Linked DNA regions of Oryctolagus cuniculus. The protein of the gene in region 1 purifies or fractionates together with the protein of each later gene. This does not show direct contact. Links are inferred from orthologs where the notes say so. Each region holds a gene or a part of one and is shown on either strand. Other genes may lie near its edges.

Evidence for each region. Proteins that work in one complex are often made in the same cells at the same time.
Region 2: the proteins of TSSC4 (region 1) and PRPF6 purify together in Homo sapiens (affinity purification with mass spectrometry; 3 studies listed by BioGRID and IntAct, counting the BioPlex papers as one, with this or other methods). This does not show direct contact. The link is inferred for Oryctolagus cuniculus from reciprocal best matches to the Homo sapiens genes TSSC4 and PRPF6.

The regions. Positions count from the first base shown.
Region 1 is NC_091432.1:1,157,855-1,163,490, forward strand, and holds TSSC4 (U5 small nuclear ribonucleoprotein TSSC4), read right to left. Parts: upstream 3,705-5,636; 5' UTR 3,619-3,704; coding exon 3,573-3,618; exon of another isoform or gene 2,732-3,572; coding exon 2,652-2,731; exon of another isoform or gene 2,561-2,651; coding exon 1,730-2,560; 3' UTR 1,663-1,729; downstream 1-1,662. Other genes in the region: TRPM5 (transient receptor potential cation channel subfamily M member 5), read left to right, coding at 152-224, 326-640; CD81 antigen, read right to left, coding at 4,852-4,914, 4,991-5,077. UniProt on the Homo sapiens protein: Protein associated with the U5 snRNP, during its maturation and its post-splicing recycling and which is required for spliceosomal tri-snRNP complex assembly in the nucleus.
Region 2 is NC_091442.1:166,986-170,828, forward strand, and holds part of PRPF6 (pre-mRNA-processing factor 6), read right to left. Parts: coding exon 3,797-3,843; intron 2,742-3,796; coding exon of another isoform or gene 2,608-2,741; exon of another isoform or gene 2,326-2,607; coding exon 2,211-2,325; intron 66-2,210; coding exon 1-65. UniProt on the Homo sapiens protein: Involved in pre-mRNA splicing as component of the U4/U6-U5 tri-snRNP complex, one of the building blocks of the spliceosome.

The DNA of each region.
Region 1 (5,636 bases):
GGGTCCCGACCCGCTGCTGAGCTGGGAGGGCCGGGCCATGGCCAGGCCACCAGGGCAGGGGTCGGCCCTGCCGGGGAACACAGGCCTGGGGCCAGGGCAGGGGACACACGACGTGCCCCGAGGCCCACGGGCTGCTCCCGCTCCTCCACAGAGTGGAGCTCATGGCCCAGTCCCTGGGGGCGCTGAGGGAGCAGGAGAGGCGTATCAAGTGTCTGGAGTCGCAGGCAAGTACCAGGCCCTCCCCAGGGCCGGCCCTGCACACCCTCACACCCACACCCGAGTCGGGGTCCGGGCCAGGGGCCCAGCCTCCTGTCCCCTCCCACAGATGAACTACTGCACCGTGGTCCTGTCCTCCGTGGCCGACGCGCTGGCCCAGGGCGGCGCCCCCTGGAGTGAGTATGTGGGAGCTGGGCCAGCGCTGGCTCCGCCTCCCCCCATCCCACCGGGAGTTCTGTCGCTTGGGTGCTGCCCTCTGACGGAGCCCCAGCTGCCCGGCTGCCCTGGGGGTGCCTACGTGGGGCTCACATGTCCCCCATCCCCGGCAGGCTTTCAGAACTGCAGGCAGGACCCTGCTGATCGTGGAGGGCGCGCTGGCGGCAGGGAGCACCCACAGGCCGCCCAGCCCCCCTCAGACACCTGAGCAGCTTGGCATCTCCTGGCCTGTGCTGGCCGGGGGACACAGGCCACCCCGCTCCGACATCCGACCTCATGAACAGGAGCCCCAGCCAGACCCTGCCGGCGTTCCTCCCATGGCAGCGTGCACCTGTGTCCCACCTTGGACAGCATCGGGCAGGGTGCCCAGGGACCCCGCCCCCCGCCGTGCTGCCTGACTAAAGTCTGGTGGTGGCCAGTTCTGTCCTTTGAGACGCAGACGGTCGGTCCTGAGACAGCCAGTCAGCTGCCCAGTCCCGGGGGCAGGGCGGCCGCCCCTGTGCCGGCTCCGGCAGTGTCCCCACCCCTGAACCCAAAGTGGCTCTATTTCCGGTGCTCCCTGGAGCCCACATCCCCTCCAACCCAGGTCAAACCACAGTGTCCACACGGGGGCAGGCCTTGGCTCCTGGGCTACCCACACCACCCACTGAGCTGAGTCACAACCAGGCCGAGCCCTCAAGGGTCAAGGGAGTGGGGGACAGACATGCTCGCTCCGTGGGCCTCCCCCAGCAGACCTGGGGAACCCACCCTTTGTCCCCCATGGCCCATGCTGGGCTGGAGTCCTGGCACAAGACCCCAGATGCCGGCTCTGCACCCCGTCCTGACAGTCTGGGTGGGGCACAGCCAGAGGCGAGCGTGGGCACGGCTACAGGACCACTCAGGCCTGTCCGGCACCATGCTGGACTCCTGTGGCCTGACCCCAGCCCAGGGGGACCCCTCAGCCCCTCCAGGCCGGCACTGTGCGCAGCAGGTAAAGCCGCCTCCTGTATGTGTGGTTCCAGTCCCGGCTGCTCCACTCTGACCCAACTCCCTGCCGCTGCAGCTGGGAGAGCAGCAGACGGCCCCTGTGCCACTGCGGCTCTCTGGGGAGTGGACCAGTGCACGCAAGACCTCTCTATCTTTCAAAATTAAAAGCAAACAAAAACCCAGAGAAGCGGAACACTGGGGCCGTCACTCTGCAGGGTCCGAGCGGGGCTGGGGGCCCAGGGGGAGTGAGACGACAGACAGGACCCGAGGACACCCAACACCTTTATTGTCACCCATGGAGCCCCGGGCCCCCGGCCGCGGCCCGGCCCGCTCACCCCTCAGCCGCTGGGCCCTCGCAGCCGCTGCCCCTGTTCCGGAAGTGCTCCCGGCTCCGCTTCCTGGCGCCGTGGAAGCCGACGGCGTCCAGGCCGGGGGGCCCTGGCGAGGCCCCTCTGTGGGCAGCCGCGGGGGACGCGTCTTCCTCCTGCAGGCCGCCGGGGGTGCCGCCCCTCTCCTCGGCCTCTGGGCTCCCGGGCCCGGCCAGGTGGGGCAGCTCCACCGCCTCGGTCCCCGGGAGGCCCCTGCCCGGCTGCGCGCCCTGCCCCAGGCCCCTCTTCCTCTCGGGCCTGGGCTCGCGGGCTCGGGCCGGTCTGGTGAAGACCACCCTGCCCTCCCCGCAGCTGGAGGAGTCCTGGTTGAAGGCGGGCGCGCAGGCGGCGGGGGCGGCCGGGCCCCGCGCGCCCAGGAAGGCCAGCGCCGCCGCCCGGTTGCTCTGCTCGCTGGCCTCGGCCACGTCCTCGAGGCTGTACCTGGTCCAGCGCTCCGGGTGCGCCACGTAGTCGGGGACACGCGGGCCCCTGGGGGCGCCGGCCGCCCCCTCCAGGCCGTCAAAGACGCTGTGGCTGCGCCGGGAGAAGGCGGAGCTCGTGCCCCGGAGGCAGAACGGCTGGGCCGCAGGGGCGGGGGGCGCCGGGGGCGGCGAGGGGGGCTCGGAGTCCTCTGAGTCCGCGGGCAGGTCTACACACGGCGCGGCCGCCTCGGCACCGCCAGAGCTGAGGTCCGAGTCCGAGTCCGAGCCCGAGTCGCTGGGGAAGTCGGCGTCGTCGGGGGGCGCGGCGTCCCCCTCGGCCCCCGCCTGGGCCATGGCCCCGTCCCACGGCACCTGCGGGGAAGCAGCCCGCGGGGAGGGGGCAGCTCAGGGTCGCCGGCCCACGCGGCCGCAGCAGCGGGCCCCTCCCCGGCCCGGCTCTCACCTCCCCCGTCCGCCCACGGAGGTCCTCGGTGGCCCCGGCGTGGGCTCCTCGGTGGCCTCGGCTCCGCTGCTCAGACGGGGCTGGGTGAGGGGCGGGGGACAGAGCCCGCGTCAGAGCGCGGGGCCGGCCGCAAGCTGCCTGGGACGAGGCGGAGCCCAGGGCTGGGCCCCAGGGCCCGGGCCGCGGCCACCCCGGCGGGGTCGGGCTCGCGAGCGCGCTCAAGGGTCAGCTCGAGCGGCCTTGCTGGGCAGAGGCCGCCCCCGCGGCCCCGGACACGACCCCCACCCGCGCTCCCGAGGGGCTGGCTGCAGGACAGCCCGGGCGCACCCTCCACACGGCGCTCCCCGCCTCGGGCCGACCCAGGCGCGGCGCAGCACCTCCTCCCGCGGAGCAGCCGCAGGAGGAGCGCTGGGCCCAGCAGGGACCGCGGCGAGCGCGCCCTGGGCTGGGGAGGCCGGGATCCCGCGACCGGGCCGAGGGGCAGCGGCTCTAGCTGCCTCCGGCCGCCTCTGCCGCGGAGCAGAGCACACCTTCGCCGTGTCAGGGCGGCCGCGCAGAGGGCCCTCCCGGACTTACCGGCTCCTCGTGCCGGCCGCCTTCATTCGGGTTCCCCGCCGGCCGCGCTCAGCCTTTTGGGAAACCGAGTCCCCCGCTAGCCGCGCACTGTGGCCTCCGCGACCGAAGAACTACATCTCCCATAAGCCACCGGGCCTCAGCTCCCGAGCCCTGACGGGACGTGTGCCCCAGTGCGCATGCGCCCACGCCCTTCTCCTTACACCTCCAAGCCCTGCGCCAGGAGCGGGTTCCGGAAACGGAAAAGGCCTAGCGTTGACACGGAGGAAGGGGCGGAGCCAACCGCCACTCCCAGAATGCTCGACTAACGGCGAGGCGCAGGCCTCTCGGAGTTTTAGTGCCACCTACCGGGAGGTGCGGAGACAGCAGCCGACGTAGACAGGAAGTGCGTCATCGCGCACGGTGGAGCAGAAGCCCTTGCCCGCACTTCCGGCCTTCCGAAAGCGGAAGTCGCTGCCCCTTCCCGGGTCCATCCGTCAATGCCCGGGGCGGGCCTGGCAGCCACTGAGCTTGTGGGCTGCGCTGGACGTCGGGAGCCTCTGACGATGTTTCTCCGGTTCCCCGGCCCTCAGGGACAGGCGCGCGGAGCGCTGCCCAGCGGCCCAGGCAGCCGGGGCTGGGCGTGGCCATCCTGGGCAGGTCCGGCCCCGGGCTCTCCCAGACAGGCCTCTCGCTGGCCACCAGGCCCCAAGTGGGCAGCGCCTTTTGCCCCCGTTTCTGCTGGGGCTGCTCGGTGCCCGCCAGACCCCAGCTCCTGAGTCCCTCTCCTGCGGGGGCCTGCTGTCCTGGCACTCACGGGGAGACCGGCGTCTAAGGACCCCGGGGGGGCCAGCCGCGGACAGCAGGCGGGTCATGCACGGCCCAGGCACCTCTGGGACACCCACCCTGTCCTGGCAGCCCCGGGGCCCCAGGCCCTGCACGTCCAGAGGCCAGCCTGGGCCAGCACGGCCCGGGGGGAGTGGAGGGGACTCCTCGCTGCACCTAGTTCTCCCAGGCAACCCTGTCCCCCAGGGGCTGGGAGCAGCAGGAGCCCCCGCCCTCCGCAGGGCCAGCCTCAGTCCTCCCTGGCTGCTGTCCAGGCCGAGGCGGGGCCTTTGCTCTGGCTGCTCCGAGATGCTGCTGAGGCCCGGGGGGCCACCCACGTCTCAGCAGACCTGGGGCCTGCTGCCCGCAGGGAGCCCGGAGCCCGGCCGCCCCCTCCCGCAGCCCGGTGTGCCCCAGGGGCGGTCACCCGCGGAACGCTCCCTGGGTCCTGGTCCCGTCCGCTCCGCGCGGGCTCGGCACAGTCCAGACCCCTCTGTCCCCAGCGCCCCACCCACTGAGACCCCACCGGCCAGGACCGGCGGCCAGCGCGTTAGCATGCCCGATGTCTCCTCCTTTATTACAGACTGTGTCCAGCTGCGGGCGTTACAGTTGAAGGTGACGTTAGAAAGGACAGGTGCTCCCGGAACAGGCAGGAAAGCAACAGGATTAAGAAGGCCCGGCCCCCCTCGGCAGGTGCCCCTGGCACGCGGCGTCAGCCACAGGGGCTCCGGGGGAGACGCAGAGCCCGGAGAGCCGGCAGCTGCGTGCGGAGCGAGCGGGGTGGCTCTGTACAGGCGGCGGGGGCGGCGGGGGCAGCGCGGCCTCAGTACACGGAGCTGTTCCTGATGCCGCAGCACAGCACCATGCTCAGAATCATCTCGAAGATCTGGCGGGAGGGGGGCGGTCAGCGGGGGCCGGCGGGGCGGGGCGGCCCCCCCCCCCCCGCCCGCCTGCCCGCTCACCATGATCACGGCCACCACGATGGCCGCGATGCCGATGAGGTACAGCTTCCCCGAGAACAGCTCGTCAATCTTCTGGTGGCAGTCCTCCTGCGGGGAGGGCAACCTCAGCTCCCACCTGCCCTGGCGGCACCCCGGAGGGCCCAGCTAGGCGGCCTCTGCCCACGCGGGGGAGGCGACCTCAGCTCCCACCCGAGGGCCCAGCTAGGCGGCCTCTGCCCACGCAGGGGAGGGCCCAGCTAGGTGGCCTCTGCCCACGCGGGGGAGGGCGACCTCAGCTCCCACCTGCCCTGGTGGCGCCCCCGAGGGCCCAGCTAGGGGGCCTCTGCCCACGCGGGGGAGGGCGACCTCAGCTCCCACCTGCCCTGGCGGCGCCCCCGAGGGCCCAGCTAGGCGGCCTCTGCCCACGCGGGGGAGGGTCCAGCTAGGGGGCCTCTGCCCACGTGGGGGAGGGGTGACCTCAGCTCCCACCTGAGGGCCTAGCTAGGGGGCCTCTGCCCACGCGGGGGAGAGCGACCTCAGCTCCGACCCGAGGGCTCAGCTAGGGGGCCTCTGCCCACGTGGGGGAGGGCGACCTCAGCTCCCACCCCAGGGCCCAGTTAGGCGGCCTCTGCCCACGCGGGGGAGGTGACCTCAGCTCCCACCCCAG
Region 2 (3,843 bases), on another chromosome or scaffold:
CGATCTTCACGGTGCGGTGGAACCACTCCCTGGCCTTGGTGATCTTCCGCTCGCTCCAGAACAGCCTGCTCCGGGAGAGGGGGGGCACCCTGGGTGAGTGGCCACACAGCCAACGGTGTCTCCCATATGGAGGGTGGGGCCAGCTACTTCAGCCACCTCTGCTGCCTCCATGGGGCTGTGACAGCAGAAGCGGGGACTTGAACCCAGTGCCCTCACAGGGAGGCAGGTGTCCCAGCCTGCACGTAACCTCCTAGGACAGACCCACCAGCAAATGTCCCCTGCGGCAAAATTCACACACAGCATCTTCAAACTCCTCCAAACCTCCTTTTCTCTGGACTAAGCGTGAGGGTACTTCAAAAAGTTCACGGAAAATGCAGCTGAAAGATGTCTGGTGCAGAACACTCGAGTCCATGCATCCGGGGCATCTTCATAAAGCCCACAGAGGCAGCCCAGTGTCACGTGTGAGAGCCTGGGTCCAACACCACGGGGCTCCTGCTCCTGCCGCCCTCGTGAGACAGCTGGACTGAGTTCCAGGCCCTGACTCTAACCAAGCCCAGCCCCAGCTCTCGTGGGCACTTGGGGAGTGAACAGGCAGATGGGGTGATGCTGTGGCGTGGCAGGTGAAGCCACCACCTGCAGTGCCAGCATCCTGTATGGGCTCCAGTTAGCGCCCTGGCAAACAGCAGCAGATGGGTCCATTGCCTCGGGCCCCTGCACCCACATGGGAGACCCGGAGGAAACTCCTGGCTCCCGGCTTTGGATCGGTCCAGCTCCGGCCATTTGGGGAGTGAACTAGTGGATGGAAGACCTTTCTTTCTGTCTCTCTGGCTTTGCCTCTCCGTAACGCTGCCTTTCAAGTAAATAAATACATCTTTTTTAAAAGTTCATAGAAAATGCATATTAAGACAAAGATTTCATCATTTTTGCACCAAGACAAATGCATCTTTTAATTCCAGTTTCCACATGTTTACAGGAGGTGACCAGGAGAAGCGAGGTCTGTGCCCACGCAGCCCCACCACACCCCTGGGCACCAGGGCTCAAGGCCAGGCCACAGCAGCTGCACCTGCCAGAGAGCCTGGGAACTCAGGCCAGGGGCACACCTGCACTGGGAGCCCAGAGCACGGCCTGTCAGACCACCCCCACCCCACCGGCCCAAGGCAGGGTCACTGAGGAGTGGGGTGACCTCCATCCTCACCCGGCCCCACCCCCACTGAGAGTGCACAGGAAGCCTGGCAGTTACCACCAGGAATCACTTCGGGCCCAGATAACCTGATTGGTTTTTAAGCCTTGTGGTATTCTTAATTGCTTGGTGTTAGATAAACTGTGATTTCAAGAACACAAACCCAGATAGCCGACACACGGACACTGAGCTGCCGAACGGCAAGGAGCGCCTTGTTTACTTTAGCAAAGCTTTTTATAAGGTTTTATGGCCGCCCTATCGAGCCGCACGCAAGTTCCTCAGGAGGAAGCTAGGCCATGCCCCCTCCCACACACCCACAGCACTGGTGGAGGTGCCGGGCAGGGCTCTGAGGGCCGCACCGCCACGGTCACACGCTGCCACCTCCAGAGCTGAGGGAGACCTCCGGTGGACAAGCCGCTGTCCTCACTGAGGCCTCAGAGCCCACGCAGGAGACCAACACCCCTCCTGACCGCCTCCAACACTACCCCTGCCCCTACCTCCTGCCCAGACTCAGGCCGAGCCCCTCGGCTATTGTCCTCTTCCCAGAAGGGAGTTAAGACCCTGCAGGGTCAGATGGCTCTCGAGGCCCTGCAGGCACTGCACACCCCAGCCTTCCCACTGCCCTGGGCTCTCTGCTGTAGCCACAAACAGCTGCCCCCACCCTGGGCTTCACGGCCATGTGCGTTCACACCCCAGCCTCATCCCCTGTGACCACCTCCCAGGTCCACTGATGACGGTGGAACCCATGGGCACTGTTCCCCCATCAGAGCTGAAGGCACCGAGGGGCCCCCCACCCCCAAGAAGCCTTTTCTAAGTTGTGCGTAAGCCTGGCCTGAATCCCAGGTCAAGGCAGGTGTCACAGTGGCTGAGACGAGAGCAGCACACACGGTCACAGCGAGGGAGCCCAGAGCAGAGGGGCGACCCCCTTACTGCCAGGAGCCCACGTGGTGGGGCCCCTCCCTGGAGACCACCCGCTGTGGGGAACTGAGCCCCCACAGCCCCTCAGGACCCCGCGAGGGCAGCCACTCACTTGGCCACGGCCAGGAGCACGTGGGGGTCGTGCTCACACTTCTTCAGGGCATCCACGCTCTTGGTCTTCCTCTGGGGCCTCGCCTCCAGGAAGATGGCCTCAGACCACAGCACACCTGCAACTCAGACAGTGATGCGCCTGTGCCGTGGCCTCTCCGCTCCGGCTTAGGAACCTACCCCCACACCACACGGGCTAGGAGGGCCTTGACCACAGCCAGGGCCTGCTGGGGAGCCACAGAGGCTTCGAGCCACCGCCAGAATGGCAGCCCCACTGTTTCGGCTCTGTGCAGTTCCAGCGCCTGCAAGGCCCCTCCCACCGGCTGTGTAACTTCCCGTCTGAGAACCCACGGCAACTGAGCAACCACAAATGCAGGGCAAGGGCCATGGTCCAGCTCCTGCTAACGCACCTGAAAGCAGTGGAGACCCGGATGGAGTTCCAGGCTCCTGGCTTGGGCCTGGGGCTGTGCCCCAGCCATCGTGGCCATTTGGAGAGTGAACCAGCATATGGAAGGTACTGGTCTCTCACTCTGTCCTTCAAATAAATTAAAAAAAACCTTTTGCTAGTGAAGACTCAAACAGAAAGACAGCTACCTCAAAGCAGTATCAGATTAAAAATCGGAGTGGAGGCTGGCGCTATGGCGCAGCAGGTTAACGCCCTGGCCTGAAACACCGGCATCCTATATGAGCACCTGTTCTAGTCCCGGCTGCTCCTCTCCAATCCAGCTCTCTGCTATGGCCTGGGAAAGCAGTAGAAAATGGCCCAAGTCCTTGGGCCCCTGCACCCACGTGGGAGACCCAGAGGAAGCTCCTGGCTTCGCATCGGCGCAGCTCCAGCTGTTGTGGCCATCTGGGGAGTGACCCAGTGGATGGAAGACCTCTCTCTCTGTCTCTACCTCTCTCTGTAACTCTTTCAAATAAATAAAATAAATCTTAAAAAAAAAAAAAAAAAAAAGGCAGTGGAGAGGGGCCAGCGCTGTGTAGCAGGTAAAGCTACCACCTGCATCCCATATGGGGGCCAATTTGAGCCCCGGCTGCTCCACTTCCAATCCAGGTCTCTGCTACGGCCTGGGAAAGCAGTAGAAGATGGCCCAAGTCTTCAAGTCCCTGCGCCCGCCTGGGAGACCCGGAAGAAGTTCCTGGCTCCTGGCTTTGGACAGGCACAGCTCCAGCTGTTGTGGCCATCTGGAGAGTGAACCAGCAGATGGAAGACCTCTCTGTCTCTAACTCTGCCTTTCAAATGACTAAATAAATGTTTAAGAAAAATAAAAAAGGGAGTGGATCTAAGTGTGCACAACAAGCCTGGTGAAGTGGATGAAGTGGACAGAGCATCTAAGTCCACGACATTCTCGCAAAATGTCCTGCTTTTAACAAAGCTATAGGGTGGTGACTGGCACCCCGTGGGACCCACATCCCACAACAGCTCCACGCCCAAGACCTGAGCAGCAGCACGAGGGTGACGTCTCCCTTCCATCTCATCCCCACTTTTCCCTACCGTGTTAGCGAAAGGCTTGGGACCAGATAAGGGGGGGTGAGTGAGAGAGAGAGAGAGAGAGAGTGAGAGTGAGAGAGAGGAGGCAGGGCCCTCACCGGAGTTGGGGCACTCCTGTAGTGCTTTGGCCATTAGCGTGTTGGCA